2 linked regions of the Macaca fascicularis genome follow. The protein of the gene in region 2 interacts with the protein of the main gene of each other region in a pairwise test. Links are inferred from orthologs where the notes say so. Each region holds a gene or a part of one and is shown on either strand. Other genes may lie near its edges.

The links. The genes of interacting proteins can lie anywhere in the genome.
Region 1: the proteins of MBIP (region 2) and EXOC8 interact in binary tests that used the Homo sapiens proteins (3 or more experiments, as listed by UniProt). The two-hybrid records come from large-scale screens. The link is inferred for Macaca fascicularis from reciprocal best matches to the Homo sapiens genes MBIP and EXOC8.

What each region holds. Positions count from the first base shown.
Region 1 is NC_088375.1:17,751,813-17,758,774, forward strand, and holds EXOC8 (exocyst complex component 8), read left to right. Parts: upstream 1-1,798; 5' UTR 1,799-1,911; coding exon 1,912-4,089; 3' UTR 4,090-6,876; downstream 6,877-6,962. Other genes in the region: DNA-dependent metalloprotease SPRTN, read right to left, coding at 1,047-1,267. UniProt on the Homo sapiens protein: Component of the exocyst complex involved in the docking of exocytic vesicles with fusion sites on the plasma membrane.
Region 2 is NC_088381.1:104,148,252-104,156,044, reverse strand, and holds part of MBIP (MAP3K12-binding inhibitory protein 1), read left to right. Parts: intron 1-3,162; coding exon 3,163-3,282; intron 3,283-5,063; coding exon 5,064-5,288; intron 5,289-5,367; coding exon 5,368-5,464; intron 5,465-7,793. UniProt on the Homo sapiens protein: Inhibits the MAP3K12 activity to induce the activation of the JNK/SAPK pathway. Component of the ATAC complex, a complex with histone acetyltransferase activity on histones H3 and H4.

The DNA of each region.
Region 1 (6,962 bases), on a different chromosome or scaffold from region 2:
CCCCTTGGTTAGCAGATACTTGCATTTCACCCAATTAATTAGTTACAGCCCCCGGGGGCGCCTCCCGCGATGGCTCCCCGGCCAGGCGAGGAAGGAAAGCAGCGCCCTCTCACCACCCTGCTTGAGAAGGTGGAAGGCTGCAGGCACCTGATAGAGACGCCAGGACAGTACCTGGTGTACAACGGGGACCTAGTGGAATACGATGCGGACCACATGGCCCAACTGCAGCTTCCCTTGCCCTAGCTAGGCTGCAACAGCTCGAAGGCAATCCCATTCTGCTACTCCCAGTCTCCTTACGACAAATCACAGTTTGGTGTTATTAACAAGCAGGTATCTCCAATAGTGTATCTCCAAAATGATAACAGACGCCTGTATAAAGGAGATTGGTACTTTAAACACAATTTAATATGATATCTTAATTTGTTTGTAGGTTGTTTTCTGTCAACTCAAAAACAAGCATGCTGGTGGTATACAACTGTATCTTAAACTTCACCCTATTCACGTGCAGGAGTAGATTATTATTTCAAATAAGGATTTCTCAAATTTAGCATGTAGAAAAAGAATCGTTTTAAAAGCATCACTGAAGATCCCCACTGCAACACACGAGCTCACTAAAGTGGGTTCCTAACGGGAAAGAGAGGAGGGGAACGCACATCCTTTGGAGGTTACTCTGCGTCCTCAGCACTTTCTTAGGGGCAGATTTGGTTGCTTTTCCCTTCAGGGTCCTACAGCACTATCATAAGGCAAATCAGGAACTTGTTATTTTCAAGTTTAGTGAGATTCAAACACAAATCTCTTTTCTCGTTATGGCCCTGAGTCCAACCGTGGCGGTGGGGTCTACACAGCTTTCTTATTTTTCGAGTGGGAGAAAAGGTAAGAAAAAGAGAAATACGCCAAGGCAGGAATTGCCAGGTCCAAAACCAGACTCCCCCCTCATTTAATGCCCCCTGGGACCGTCGGACCAGAGAAAGGAGAGAAGACCAGGATCGGGGGCTGCAGGAGAACTGCCAGTCCCGCCTCTTTCCCCAGCGGGGCTCGGAACTCACAGGGTCATTCGCACGCTCCACTTCACCTCGACGGCCTCCAGCTGGCCCCAGAAGAACTGGTCGTTAAACTGAACAAACAGGGCCTGCAAGTCCGGTGTGGGGTCCACCAACTCCCACGACGCGTCCACTAGCGACAGGGACTCCTGGGCCTGATCGCGCTCCGCCTCCTGCAAGTTCCACTCCTCCTGAAGCCGCAGGGCCAACATCAGGTCATCGTCCATCGTTGCCAGGATCACAGGCGGGATCCGCCGGTGTCAGGCTGGCTCCGAGTTAGGCTGCGACCCCAAGCCGCCTAGCGGAGGACCAGGACTAGCTCCTAGGAGATACCGGCTCTCGAGACGGCCAGTCAATCCCGCGAGAGTTCGCGGAAACTCGCTTAAGAAAGAGAACGTGAACGAGAACGGCGCTTACCCCAAACGCCGAAGCCAAGATTCTAGGGCTTTAAAACAAGCAGTCAGCACGACACCTCCTAGTGGGCGCAGAACCTGGGCTCACAGGGCACCGGCCCTACGAAGCTTTCAGGAAGCTAGTTCCAGCCTTTACTCTTTGCCGGTTATTTCAAACCTCAACGTCACGCTCGGTTCATGCGCAGTACCCAAATTGCTCTCGGCCTCTCCACTCACTTCCGCACTAGCTCCTCCGGCGCATGCGCCTTAACTGATGGCATTCCTGCGCAGGCGCAATGTCTGCGCCTGGCCCCTTGCGCAGGCGCAGTGTCTGACGCTCAGACCCGGCGCAGGCGCACTCGTCTTGTTCCAATTCCTGCTTCCTCAGCCCAGGAGCTCGGCGGGTCTTGGGTGGGTGTAGACAGCCGCGGCGGCTGCGGCGCCGATAGTGACAGTGATTGCGTGAGACCCGGACGGAAATGGCGATGGCGATGTCGGACAGTGGGGCGAGCCGCCTGCGTCGGCAGCTGGAGTCAGGGGGTTTTGAGGCGCGGCTGTACGTGAAGCAGCTCTCGCAGCAGTCGGATGGGGACCGGGACCTCCAGGAGCACCGGCAGCGCATCCAGGCGCTGGCGGAGGAGACGGCGCAGAACCTGAAGCGCAACGTCTACCAGAACTACCGGCAGTTCATAGAGACGGCCCGTGAGATCTCCTACCTGGAGAGCGAGATGTACCAGCTCAGCCACCTGCTGACGGAGCAGAAGAGCAGCCTGGAGAGCATCCCGCTTACGTTGCTGCCTGCCGCAGCTGCCGCCGGAGCCGCTGCCGCGTCTGGCGGGGAGGAGGGAGTCGGTGGGGCGGGGGGCCGAGACCACCTCCGAGGCCAGGCCGGTTTTTTCTCCACCCCCGGTGGCGCCTCCCGCGACGGCTCCGGTCCAGGCGAGGAAGGAAAGCAGCGCACTCTCACCACCCTGCTTGAGAAGGTGGAAGGCTGCAGGCATTTGCTGGAGACGCCGGGACAGTACCTGGTGTACAACGGGGACCTAGTGGAATACGATGCCGACCACATGGCCCAACTGCAGCGGGTGCACGGCTTTCTCATGAACGATTGTTTGTTGGTGGCTACCTGGCTGCCGCAGCGGCGGGGCATGTATCGCTACAACGCTCTCTATTCCCTAGATGGTTTGGCCGTAGTCAATGTCAAGGACAACCCGCCCATGAAGGACATGTTCAAGCTGCTTATGTTCCCCGAGAGCCGTATTTTCCAGGCCGAAAATGCTAAAATCAAACGAGAGTGGCTGGAAGTGCTGGAGGAGACCAAGAGAGCCCTCAGTGAGAAAAGGCGAAGGGAGCAGGAGGAGGCAGCGGCCCCTCGAGGGCCACCCCAAGTGACTTCCAAGGCCACTAACCCATTTGAGGATGACGAAGAAGAAGAGCCAGCTGTTCCTGAAGTAGAGGAAGAGAACGTGGACCTCTCCATGGAATGGATCCAGGAGTTACCTGAAGACCTGGATGTCTGCATTGCGCAGAGGGACTTTGAAGGAGCTGTTGACCTGCTGGATAAATTGAACCATTACCTGGAAGATAAGCCTAGCCCACCTCCTGTAAAAGAACTAAGGGCCAAAGTGGAGGAGCGAGTTCGACAGCTCACTGAGGTGCTGGTTTTCGAACTCTCCCCAGATCGTTCCCTGAGAGGTGGTCCCAAGGCTACTCGCAGAGCAGTTTCGCAACTGATCCGGCTGGGCCAGTGCACGAAGGCCTGTGAGCTATTTTTGAGAAACAGGGCAGCCGCTGTTCATACAGCAATTCGTCAGCTTCGCATTGAAGGCGCCACTTTACTCTATATTCATAAGCTGTGCCATGTCTTCTTTACCAGCCTTCTTGAGACTGCAAGAGAATTTGAGATTGATTTTGCAGGCACTGACAGCGGCTGCTACTCCGCCTTTGTGGTCTGGGCAAGATCAGCCATGGGCATGTTCGTGGATGCTTTCAGCAAGCAGGTGTTTGATAGTAAGGAGAGCCTCTCAACAGCAGCTGAGTGTGTAAAAGTGGCTAAGGAGCATTGCCAGCAACTGGGTGATATCGGACTGGACCTCACCTTCATCATCCATGCCCTTCTGGTGAAAGACATCCAAGGGGCCTTGCACAGTTACAAAGAAATCATCATTGAAGCCACTAAACATCGCAACTCTGAAGAGATGTGGAGAAGGATGAACTTGATGACGCCAGAAGCCCTGGGGAAGCTCAAAGAAGAGATGAAAAGCTGTGGGGTAAGTAACTTTGAGCAGTACACAGGGGATGACTGCTGGGTGAACCTAAGTTACACAGTGGTTGCTTTCACCAAACAGACCATGGGCTTCTTGGAAGAGGCTCTGAAGCTGTATTTCCCAGAGCTGCACATGGTACTTTTGGAGAGCCTGGTGGAAATCATTTTGGTTGCTGTTCAGCATGTGGATTATAGTCTTCGATGTGAGCAGGATCCAGAGAAGAAAGCTTTTATCAGACAGAATGCATCCTTTTTATATGAAACAGTCCTCCCTGTGGTGGAGAAAAGGTTTGAAGAAGGTGTGGGGAAACCTGCCAAGCAACTCCAAGATCTGAGGAATGCATCTAGACTTATTCGTGTGAATCCTGAAAGTACAACATCAGTGGTCTAATGCTTGGGTCTGTTTATATGTATGTATATATAGAGAGAGAGCGCTTATATATTATTTATATTTATATTAAGTTGTATTAGCATACTCTTTATAGTTTCAAACACAACTTGAAAATTAAAAGTGCCCTCTTAGAATACAAAAATCAAAAAGAGGAAAAGAAGTTAAATTAAGCCCAAATAACAAAAATACTGGAATTATTAAAACATATAGTATGCTAGCTATCCTTTTAAATTATGCTGATTCTCTTCTGAAATTATGGTCACACTATACACTATAGCATTTCAGTTTTATCCTTTGATAAAACACTTTTTGGTTTTTTTTTTTTTTTTTTTTTGAGACAGGGTCTCACCCTGTTGCCCAGGCTGGAGTACAGTGGCAACGTCACAACTAAATGCAGCCTTGACCTCCCAGGCCCAGGCAATCCTCTCACCTCAGCCTCCCATGTAGCTGGAACCACAGGCTGGCACCACCATACCCAGCTAATTTTTGTATTTTTTGTAGAGATGGGGTTTTACCATGTTGCCCAGGCTAGTGTTTTCTTTCTTCTTTTTTTTTTCCGCACAGTATATATTATACAGCAGAGTAATAATATCTATAAACATAGAGTTTATGTTGTGAAAATTTTCCCAGTTCACTAAAAGGTTTCCTAAAGGGTACAGTGCAGTATAAAACACCCTGCCTCATTTATTTCTCCTCAAAACGTTGGACTATTTGGGAAAAAGAAAAGCGTTGGGAAAATTGGTTTTAGGGTAAGTTTTAGTCAAAAGAGTTCTTTCTTGAAACTAGCTGGTGTGTGGATTCAGATACTCTGATCCTTACAGAATCCAAGAGGAAGCTTTCATAAAAACAATTCAGCAACTATTTCTAATATTATTTGAATGGCTAATTTTCAGTTGCTAATTAGCAGCTTTGTAATACTTGATTCAGGAGCGTTTACTTGGAAATCCTAAGGACTATAATAAAATTTTTCAACATATTTCTAAATTGCGTGAGTTTCCAACTGTAGCTTTTGCCTTTGTCACATTTTAAAAAATAATAATAGGCAGGACACATTGGGGACTCTGGCAGCAGTTGCCAGGTTTTAGCTGCCACTGCTTCAGTTTAAGATACAGCTGTCCCATCCTCCCCCATTCAGGGTAGGATATATAGTGGCCTAGATGTCATGCAAATGGAAAAAAAGTTTTAACTGAAATATTTATTTAGATTTCAGGGTCTAGATGGATGGGAAATTAGAAAAACATATGCAAATCTCAGTGTTCTCACTATGACTACTCTGAGCAGAGATTCGGTTTTGTTTCTTTTTGTACCAAAGTGAAAACAGGTGAGACAATGTGCCCAAAACAAAGGGAAGATGAGAACCTTCTGTGACTTCTAAAATGTTCCATGCTGCATTTTTCTTGTTTCATTTTTTTAAACATGAATATAATGCTTCAAATTGTTTAGTAAAACAAAATCAGAAATGTGAGCTTCCCAAGGTTTCTAAACTATCGCTTCTATTGTATGTTCTATAACATTCCTTATACTTTGAGAGAAACTATGCTTGCTGTGATCCATTTTGTCTCTAGCTTCTAGTTGTGATTCTTGTCCATAAGCACCAAATTTGATGCCCATGATTTCAAAAGGTCATTTCTTTTATCTAAATGAAAATGGTGGTACTAAGACTGTGAAAATTATGTGAAACCTAAAATAGTTGCCAAAATGGCTCAGGGTTGTAAAATTCATTGACTTAATTATTCATGTGCCAGATCAACCCCTTTATTTTCGCTTTAGCTATGCATATTTAAAATATTGGAAAGTATCAGATTTACAGATTTTCTTTTGACTACGTTTTTTCACATAACTTTAGGATTTTCGAAAGTTATAACCATAACTGGATATCTTAGCTGAGCAAAGGCAGTTATAATTTGTCTTTTTAAGATCACTGGAAATTGTTAAAATTTTGTGGTAATTATGATTATTCTGTGCCATTTACAGTTTCTAATACTATACTGTATGAAATATGTATAAATATATGATGCTGGGTCTGTGAAATGATACTTCTGAAATCAAAATTCCTCATAAGGCATGAAGTTGTAAAAACTTAAATGTGTATAGTTAGATATTTAAATGGTTGCTTCTTCATAGAATTGTCTGCTTTTTGAAACTGGAAGTACAGGATTTTCTTCAGGTAAAATCTGTGTGTTCCAATTACAGTTGTAGCTGAAGGAAGTATGCTTTTGGTAAGTCAATTAGTGTGGTAAGTTGACAAAAGACTCCCAGTGTTGTACCCAGACAGAACAATTATGTTACATTCCTCTAAGTGGAGTGGGCTTTGTTCTCTAATTATTTTGTTTTATTAAACTCAAAGACAAGTTCTAAAAATTGAATGCAATGAGAGATTGTCCAGAAATATAACATATACTAAAATATACCACTTAAGCATTGATTGACTCTTCTTGTTTACTTCAAGAATATAAAACTTGTCACTTGAGCTTGGAATCATGGGCTTGACTGAATTAATTACTCTTGGGAAAAAAGGCACCTTGTGGCATTAAGTCTCGTTTTGATTAAAGCCTCATTTCACATAATTGCTAAAAACTCACTTTTGTTTAATATACTACCTATAGTTTAATTATCAGCACTTGTATTTTGTAACTTGATATCTTACCTAGGATTGGGAATTTGGGACATGACATGTACTATAAAAGTCAGTCTATGTACATATTGCTTATTGATGTGCTGTGATATGAGGGAATCTGAAATGTTTCATAAAAATAAAGCTTAAACATTGTCTTACACTGGATAAAAGTGATATTACAATATTATATCTATTGCTCTTCTTTAGTATTCAATATTTTTATATTCTTGTTACTGAAATATTCTTTGAAGACCTT
Region 2 (7,793 bases):
TTTTGGGCATCTATAACCCTTTCAAATGGGGAGGAAAGTAAAAGGAATTCGTTTAAAATACTTCTAGCGTAAAGTTGGATGAGTTATCCATCGTTGATGCTGTTTGCGTTTAGAACTGTCGTTATTTAACTATTAACTAGTTTAACTGACTGATAAATCGCTTTTGCAGAAATGCCATAGTAAAATTGGTTTTGAATTTAGTGGGCTTCTTCGATCAAGTCACTGTTTCGTTTCACGGTGTAAAATTAAAAGCAAGTTTTAAATGAGAAACAATTTAAAAGTACGCTTGTTTACCTGCCTTTTAAAAGGAAATGTTTTCTATCTTACATAGACCATTTTCTAGCCGTAAAAGTTTGTTTTGAGGCTGGCACTAGCGCATGTGGACACGGCAGGCATTTGTGTCAAAGATAATGGTAAATTCTTATGAAAATAGAACATTTGTCTGATTTGTGAAAATTATTTTTAAAGCCTTGAGTAGATGGAGAATCAGCTTTTTAAAAAGTTACTATTTTAAAAAATCATAGTGTGTTGTGTCTTACAAAGAACATTACTGTAAGTTAAACGGTTTTATGTAATGACGCAATTATTAATGGAGTCTGCTTAAAGATACAACTTTTAAATTCAGTTGTTTGCCAAGTGCTTACCGAAATCGTTTTTTAAAGGCTTGGGGTGTTTTGTTATATATTCCAGTCTTAAGACCCAAGACCTTTTAAATGGTTTAAAAGTTAGAGAACTTTTTATGGCGACGTTGGAACTTAAGTTTGTTTATTTTCTAATGTCAAGATGAAAAAAGTTTATGCTCACCTATTAACAGAAGATGGAATATTTTTAAAAAATACTGAGCAATGATTTAAACGTTTCTTTTGAAACATTTAGCATACTGAATTTTTCAAACTCATTAGAAAATTTTAAACATTCAAGTACTCTACAAGTAAAGAAGCGATTACAATTTATTTGTGTCACCTGTCAAAAATGTTGACAGTAAATATTTGGTTACTTTACCATGACACAGTGAAGGGACCTCCTATACAGGTGTCAAAAATATGATTGTTTCATCAGTTAAATGCAAACTGTTTTCATAATACTCTATATTTTGAGAAGTATTAAGAGTGAAAGCCAGAGTTCCACACTTGCAAAATTGCCCCCAGAGAAATCAGTATTTTCTTTTGCAACCACTTTAAAAGATTTCTAGAAGGTATGTTGTAACATGCCTAACTTCATCCTGTGTCATCCCTAAGTATCATTGTATTATTAGATCTCAGTAGGAAACATAAAACTGAATGTTAAAAAGAATTTTTTACTTAAGATCACAAAATTTACTAATTTTAACCTTTTTGCTTGCCTCTGGATGGTCCATCTTACCAAGCTAAACACTTACTTATTTTTAGCTTGGATTTTTGTATTAATTTAGTAAAGTGTTTACTGAAAATATTTATTTAAATAGTCTATATTAATAGCAGACTAATAGAGATTTTCGAGTGAATGGTTTACTCTTCCAAGTTCTGTAGGGCAAAATGCATAGAATTCATATTACTAATAATGAATTTGTTGAATGAATAGTTAGGTGTATTAGAATAGTTTTAAATTAATTTGTGACATTATTATGTGAGTTTCTTAAAAGACCAGTTATTCTTAATTGCACTTGAAGCTTATGTAATTCTGCTGAATTGAAATGACACTATGAACGAAACATTAAGACTTATTTTTCTATAAGTTATTTTCTCTAGAAAATGTGATACTTTGCTTTGGTTGAGGATTTGCCTGCTTTATCCCCAAGCTGTATTCTTAAGTTTTCTGTGATCAACTGTAGATCTCTTTGAAGACTATGAAAGTACAATAATAGGTTACTTCCATACATAATACAGGTTGTTGTCTAACAAAATCTTTATAGGAATTAAAATAATGTAAATGAATGCATTCACTTTAACGTAAAATCTTAACATATTATAATCTTTGCCAGTGCAGCCTACATGAAATTTCATGTATCTTTACGCTTGTCTAATATGGACTTCTAAATGCTTCTGTTCTCATCTTCATTTCTGTCACAAAGTATTCAATATATTATCTTTTTATTGGTAACCTTACATCTTTTTGATCTTTGTACAGTGATTCATCTTTTTTATTATAATTATGACTAATAAAATCTGTATTTGAACTCATGTAACACCTTTATTTTGTAGAAAAGATGACTCATTTTGAATAAATTATGTTAAGTTGATTCCACTATGAAGTGTATTCTTATACTATGCTATAAACACATGTCCCTAGAAAAGTTTGTGATGGTTCACTTTTATTTACTCAAAAGACTGCAGATGGGCGCTCTCATTGTAAACTTTTCACTCATTTTGATGATAATCTTATATTCAGGTTGTTGGTAGTTTTCTGGGTATGATTTTATTCTATTAGATCACCAACTGATAGAAATTTCCATATAATGAGCACTGATATCTTAGCATTTAGCAAAAGATCTGGACATTTCATCCAGTCTGGCAACTTATGTCACTATAGTGGAGAAGTCTTTGTTTTTCAGCTTCAGACTTCTGTAGCTAAATAATAGTTTTTCATTTGAAATAAACATGTTGCCATTTATCCCTACACTTTATATGTATGAATAATCTTGACTTTTAAATTAGTTTAAAAATTGGTTAAAAGTTAAAAAACTAAAAATGTGATTTGGAGGACATCAGAATAATGATATATTTCTGATATGTATTTGTGTACATAAAGAGAAAGATGCATGTTAAAACTTTCACAAAACAGTTGTACTTCCTCTGTTTAAGGCTCTGAGCTAGAAGTAGTAGGATTCTGAATAGGGCAGGCCTATATTGGACTCCATCCAAAGGTTTGTAGATATTGAAGTATCAAAAGAGCCTTCATCTTTTCATCTTTCATGAATGGTTTTTACCTCTAAAATGGTCGCATTACACAGACCCAAGAATAGAATTTGAATGACATGTCATGTTGTTTTTGTTTTTTATGAAAATCTGTAGCTTTTTTGGCCTCTTAAAATGGAACTGCGTAGAGCATTTCAGTGTATTATTAAAAACTTGATAACTTAGAGCAAAATAGACCCGTTACTCTAGAAATCTTATTTTTGTGACAATTCATATGTACAGCTTAATTGTGTAATTTTTGTGATGTTGCTGGTTTGCCCCTTTGAAGCTTAACCTCAGAGATGATGTGGTGAAAATTACAATCGATTGGAACAAGCTCCAGAGCCTCTCGGCATTCCAGCCTGCATTGCTCTTTAGTGCACTTGAACAACACATTTTATATTTACAGGTAAATTTCTTGCTAAAATGATAACCCGATATTGAAAATAGACATTAATTGTGGTTAAATTAGTTGGAGTATTTGACAGTTCTAAACACTATATTAATAGTGTTGCTAACAAAAGGTTATTTACATCCAGATTTAATCTAAATCTGTTAATTTCAGTAGTGATCAGGACAGTTAAGGGAATATAGCCCAAAAGACCAATGTGGGTATGAGAGTGAATGAATGCAATTCTATTCAATTCTAGACCTGCACTGAAAATTCAATACAGTTCCATCTATGGTGGGTTATAATTAAGCAATAAGACACGGCAGGTGTGTGTCATGCTATGATAATGATTCCATGCCTTGGGTGAGTTTGGAGGCTCATGGAGTGCTTTCAGTGGTTCAAGAAGGGGCATTATCCCAGCATGACACATCCTGGAGTGTCTATTGCAATTAAACAGTTTCAGCATAGTTTTTAAAAAGAAAGTAATTTCTGTGACATTAATGTCTCATCTTTGTAAGTAGCCAGTCACTATTTTATCATTTCTTTTCCTTAACAGTTTGAAATAATTCATTCTTTATATTAGAAGTTAATATTGAATCTGTATTTATAATAATGTTGTTATATTTTAAAATATTTCATGTTAATAACTGAACAGTATTATGACCTTGCTGGTTTCTAATTGAACATCTTTGCAATTATAATTGATGTAAGTTTGCAGTTTATCTCTAATCAAAGTGTAAAATGTGAAGTGTCAAAAAGACAAGTGGAAAAACTGTTTGGATTGGTCAGTTTACTGTGATTAAGGTGTTACAAGGTTTCAAAAGAGTAGTATAGCAAACAATGGAAGCAAAATTGTGGGTATGAAAAAAATAATTGGAACATTATCAGTGTTAGTGTGTTTTGACTAATGGAATAGGCATTAATTTTCAGCCCTCCATTCATTGACTTTGTGGGAAATTTTAACTGTTCCATGTTAAAAGTAATAGTTAACCCTGTTTTAAAGGGCAGAGCAGTGAGCTGTAGAACTCAAATGAGGCCTAATTGTGGGGAGCGGGGGAGGGGAACAGTAAATGGGTAATATAGTTTATAGTCTACAACAGGGGTTTTCCCCTGTAGTATAGTGATAGGCCTCTGCCTGTTTTCAGCTATAGATCTTTTTTTTTTTTCTTGTTCATTTTCTTTTTTAAAATTTAATTTTATGACCCAAGAAGAGATCTTGCCATGTCAGGAAATGTCTGAGTGTTCACTCAACCTAACACCTATATATTTCATGTCTATCTTCCTCATTCACATTGGCCAACTGCAGTTTCAAGTGGAGAATCTCCAGTGATATAGTGATAATGCAGGGCTTTGCTGAGTGAGAGCACTGGCTCTCATGTTAAGGAGGAAAAATACTAAGCCTTAGTGTTCTGAGGAGGCATTTGAATGACATGTTAATTAAGTGGCATTGGTGCCAGAGGCTGAAGGCTTTGATTTGGCACAAAATAAAAGATGAGTGACAGAATGATTCTCTCAAAGAAAATTTTAAATTTCCTTAGGTTTTCTTTTCTTTTTTCTTTTCTTTTTTCCTCTCTCCTTTTTTAAAACTAATTTATAGCAAATGATAATGGTTACAATAGCAGAGAATAGTAAATACTTACATGTGGTCAGATCTATGTGTCTTGGTATACCAACTTTTTATATTTATTAACTGATATTAAGTATTTCATTTACTTTGCAGAAATTTATGTAAATATATTAAATGTGTAATTAATTTTGGTCAGTTTGAACCTCAGCAGATGGAATTGTGTTGTTCTCAGCCTTTTTTAGCAAAACTTCAGTCTCCAATTAAAGAGGAGAATACAACTGCTGTTGAAGAGATAGGAAAAACAGAAATGGGGAACAAAAATGAAGCAAATGACAAATTTTCCATTGGTGACCTACAAGAGGAAGAAAAACACAAAGAAAGTGATTTAGGAGATGTGAAAAAGACACAGATCCATTTTGATCCAGAAGTAGTTCAGATAAAGGCTGGAAAAGCAGAAGTAAGTTTTTCTGGCGGGGGTGAGAGGGTATTATTTTTAAAAATCTTATGTTTACACTGTTAAAACTTGTTGTTTGTAGATTGACAGACGAATATCTGCATTTATTGAAAGAAAGCAAGCTGAAATCAATGAAAACAACGTCAGGGAATTTTGCAATGTTATTGATTGTAATCAAGGTAACTACCTAGAAATTAATTTTCATAGGGTTTTAAGCACAATTTTTATAGTTGCTCTAATCTTTTATTTATTTTTTAAATGAATAGCTTTAAGAACACAATTCAAGTTATTTCACAGGTTTAGTTAGTAACTAAGATAGTAGAGTTTCCTTCTGCTTAATAATAGACTATATTGCAAACTGGTTTTCATTTTGGTTACACAAAGTAAATGCTAACATTAAAAGTGTTTATCACTGGCGAAGATTATTTTAAAGTTCCTTTAGGAAATGAATGTGAGGTATGAGTGACAAGGTTGATCTATCCCACTAGTAAAAGGAACTGAGCTCTATGAGTTTCAAACCTATACATGTACTGTGAAATCATGATGTTAATACATAAGTGAACTTAAAGTTAATATTCCTCCAGAGGGAGCAGTTTTCTCACTACTCCTGAGCTGTTTGAAATGTCCTATGTCACAATACAACCAATTTATCATGAAGACTATGGTGTCTTGCTTTTTTCCTTTCTGCCATAGTGCATACGTTTGTTGTTTTTCATCAGATTCTCCTTTACCTCTCTACTTGATGCTATAGTACATTTACAAATCTGCAGTTATGCTGCAGAATACAAAATATTGCAAAGCAGTGCCATAGATCATACTCAGGCACCATAGTAATAATCAGAACAACTAGTTCTTAGGAAAAATTATGGAGAAGAATTCATAATTGGGATGAACATGTTTCTTGTTGCCTCTAATATCTCATGACTAATTATTATGAACATAGAATTGTCAGATGAACCTAAAACTGACTCATATCACATTGGTACACTGATTCTCTTAATAATGAAATAATATAGGCTGGTATTGGATCCTGAATTTAGCTGTGTGCTACTATTAACATTACACATGTGCATCTCTAAATTTGGTATATTTTCCTATTAGCTTTTCAGAACAGGTGCAACAATGGCAAAATCTCAGGTACTACAACCAGCTATAAGCGACTATGAGAAAGGGTTTGTTGCGAGAGCAAGCACATGTGTCACTAATGTTATTCCTCTGTTCTCCCTGCTAACTCTATTATTATAAACCACCAGGGGATAGAAATTGACAAGAATTGAAATGCTCAGCAGGATTCCTTGGCCCATTCAATTCCTTGCTGGCTCAAAACAGTGCTAGAAAGAATTGCTGTGGAGAGTGACTAGCACTCATATACTCACACCATGCTGAATTTCTCACTGATGGGTCAGTTAATCTATATGTTTGGAATATAGTTCTGGAATGGATGATAGCTTCTTTTTTTAACCCTTAGCCCCATTAAATGGTAGGAAGAGAATGGAGAAAGGATGGCCTTTTAAGCATATTTTGAGGTGCCTCCAAAAAAAAAAAAAAAAAAGGAAAGATGACTGTTTAGTCTCTGGATATAAAAGCTAAGTGGATTTGGAATTTTATGCATACTATTTGATTTATCAACAGAACTACTAAGGAAAGTTCAACTGAAAAAATATAAATGCATTTTAATATGTTAGTGTGTTCCTTTTTATTAAAAGGGATTTTAATAGTACAAATCTAACTATAAGCAGTGGAATTTTTAAAAATCAAATTTCATGGTGGGGGAAGGAATTTTTTTTTTAAGAATCTCATTTACCAGCCATTTTTTACAAAATATTCAAGGGAATTTTACAGGAGACTTACTGCCAATGTGTGGCTTTTAAGCATTGTTTCAAACACAAGTATATATTATTACTATGTAGTATCATATGTTAATATATAACAATTATGTTAATATATTAGTTGTATTATATGTTAACATCTTTCCAATTTTCCCCCTTTGTAATTTATGCATTGATATCTAATTTGAAAGAAACTATACTTTTCAGCTTGGAAAAAAATAGGAACAAATTTTCACAACAGACCTTTCCTAAATTTAAACTTTTTTGAAAGTGGTAGGATGAGAAGAAGTAGATGACTTTTGTGATGACAGATTTCTAAAATGAGCACTGGAAATCTAGGTAGAGTGGAAATGTGTGTGTACTTGAGGTTTTGAGGTCATCTTTATGTGGAGTTCTGAAATAAAAATGTGTTAAATACATAATTCTTTTTGTTGGGTGTTCACTAATTTGGCATTAAAATAAAACATGCTGAATTAAAAGAATTCTAGTAAAAATGATGAGTTCTAGTTCTACGATGAAGTAGAATTTAAATACTCTACAGTAGATTATTTTCTCCAGAGGCCCGAATAGTGACATTGGTTTTCAAAATTGTATCAATTTGTGCCACTTAATGTTGATGGCTTTTCTGTATATAAATCTGAATATTAGGTAAGAATATTAGATATTACGATACATTTTG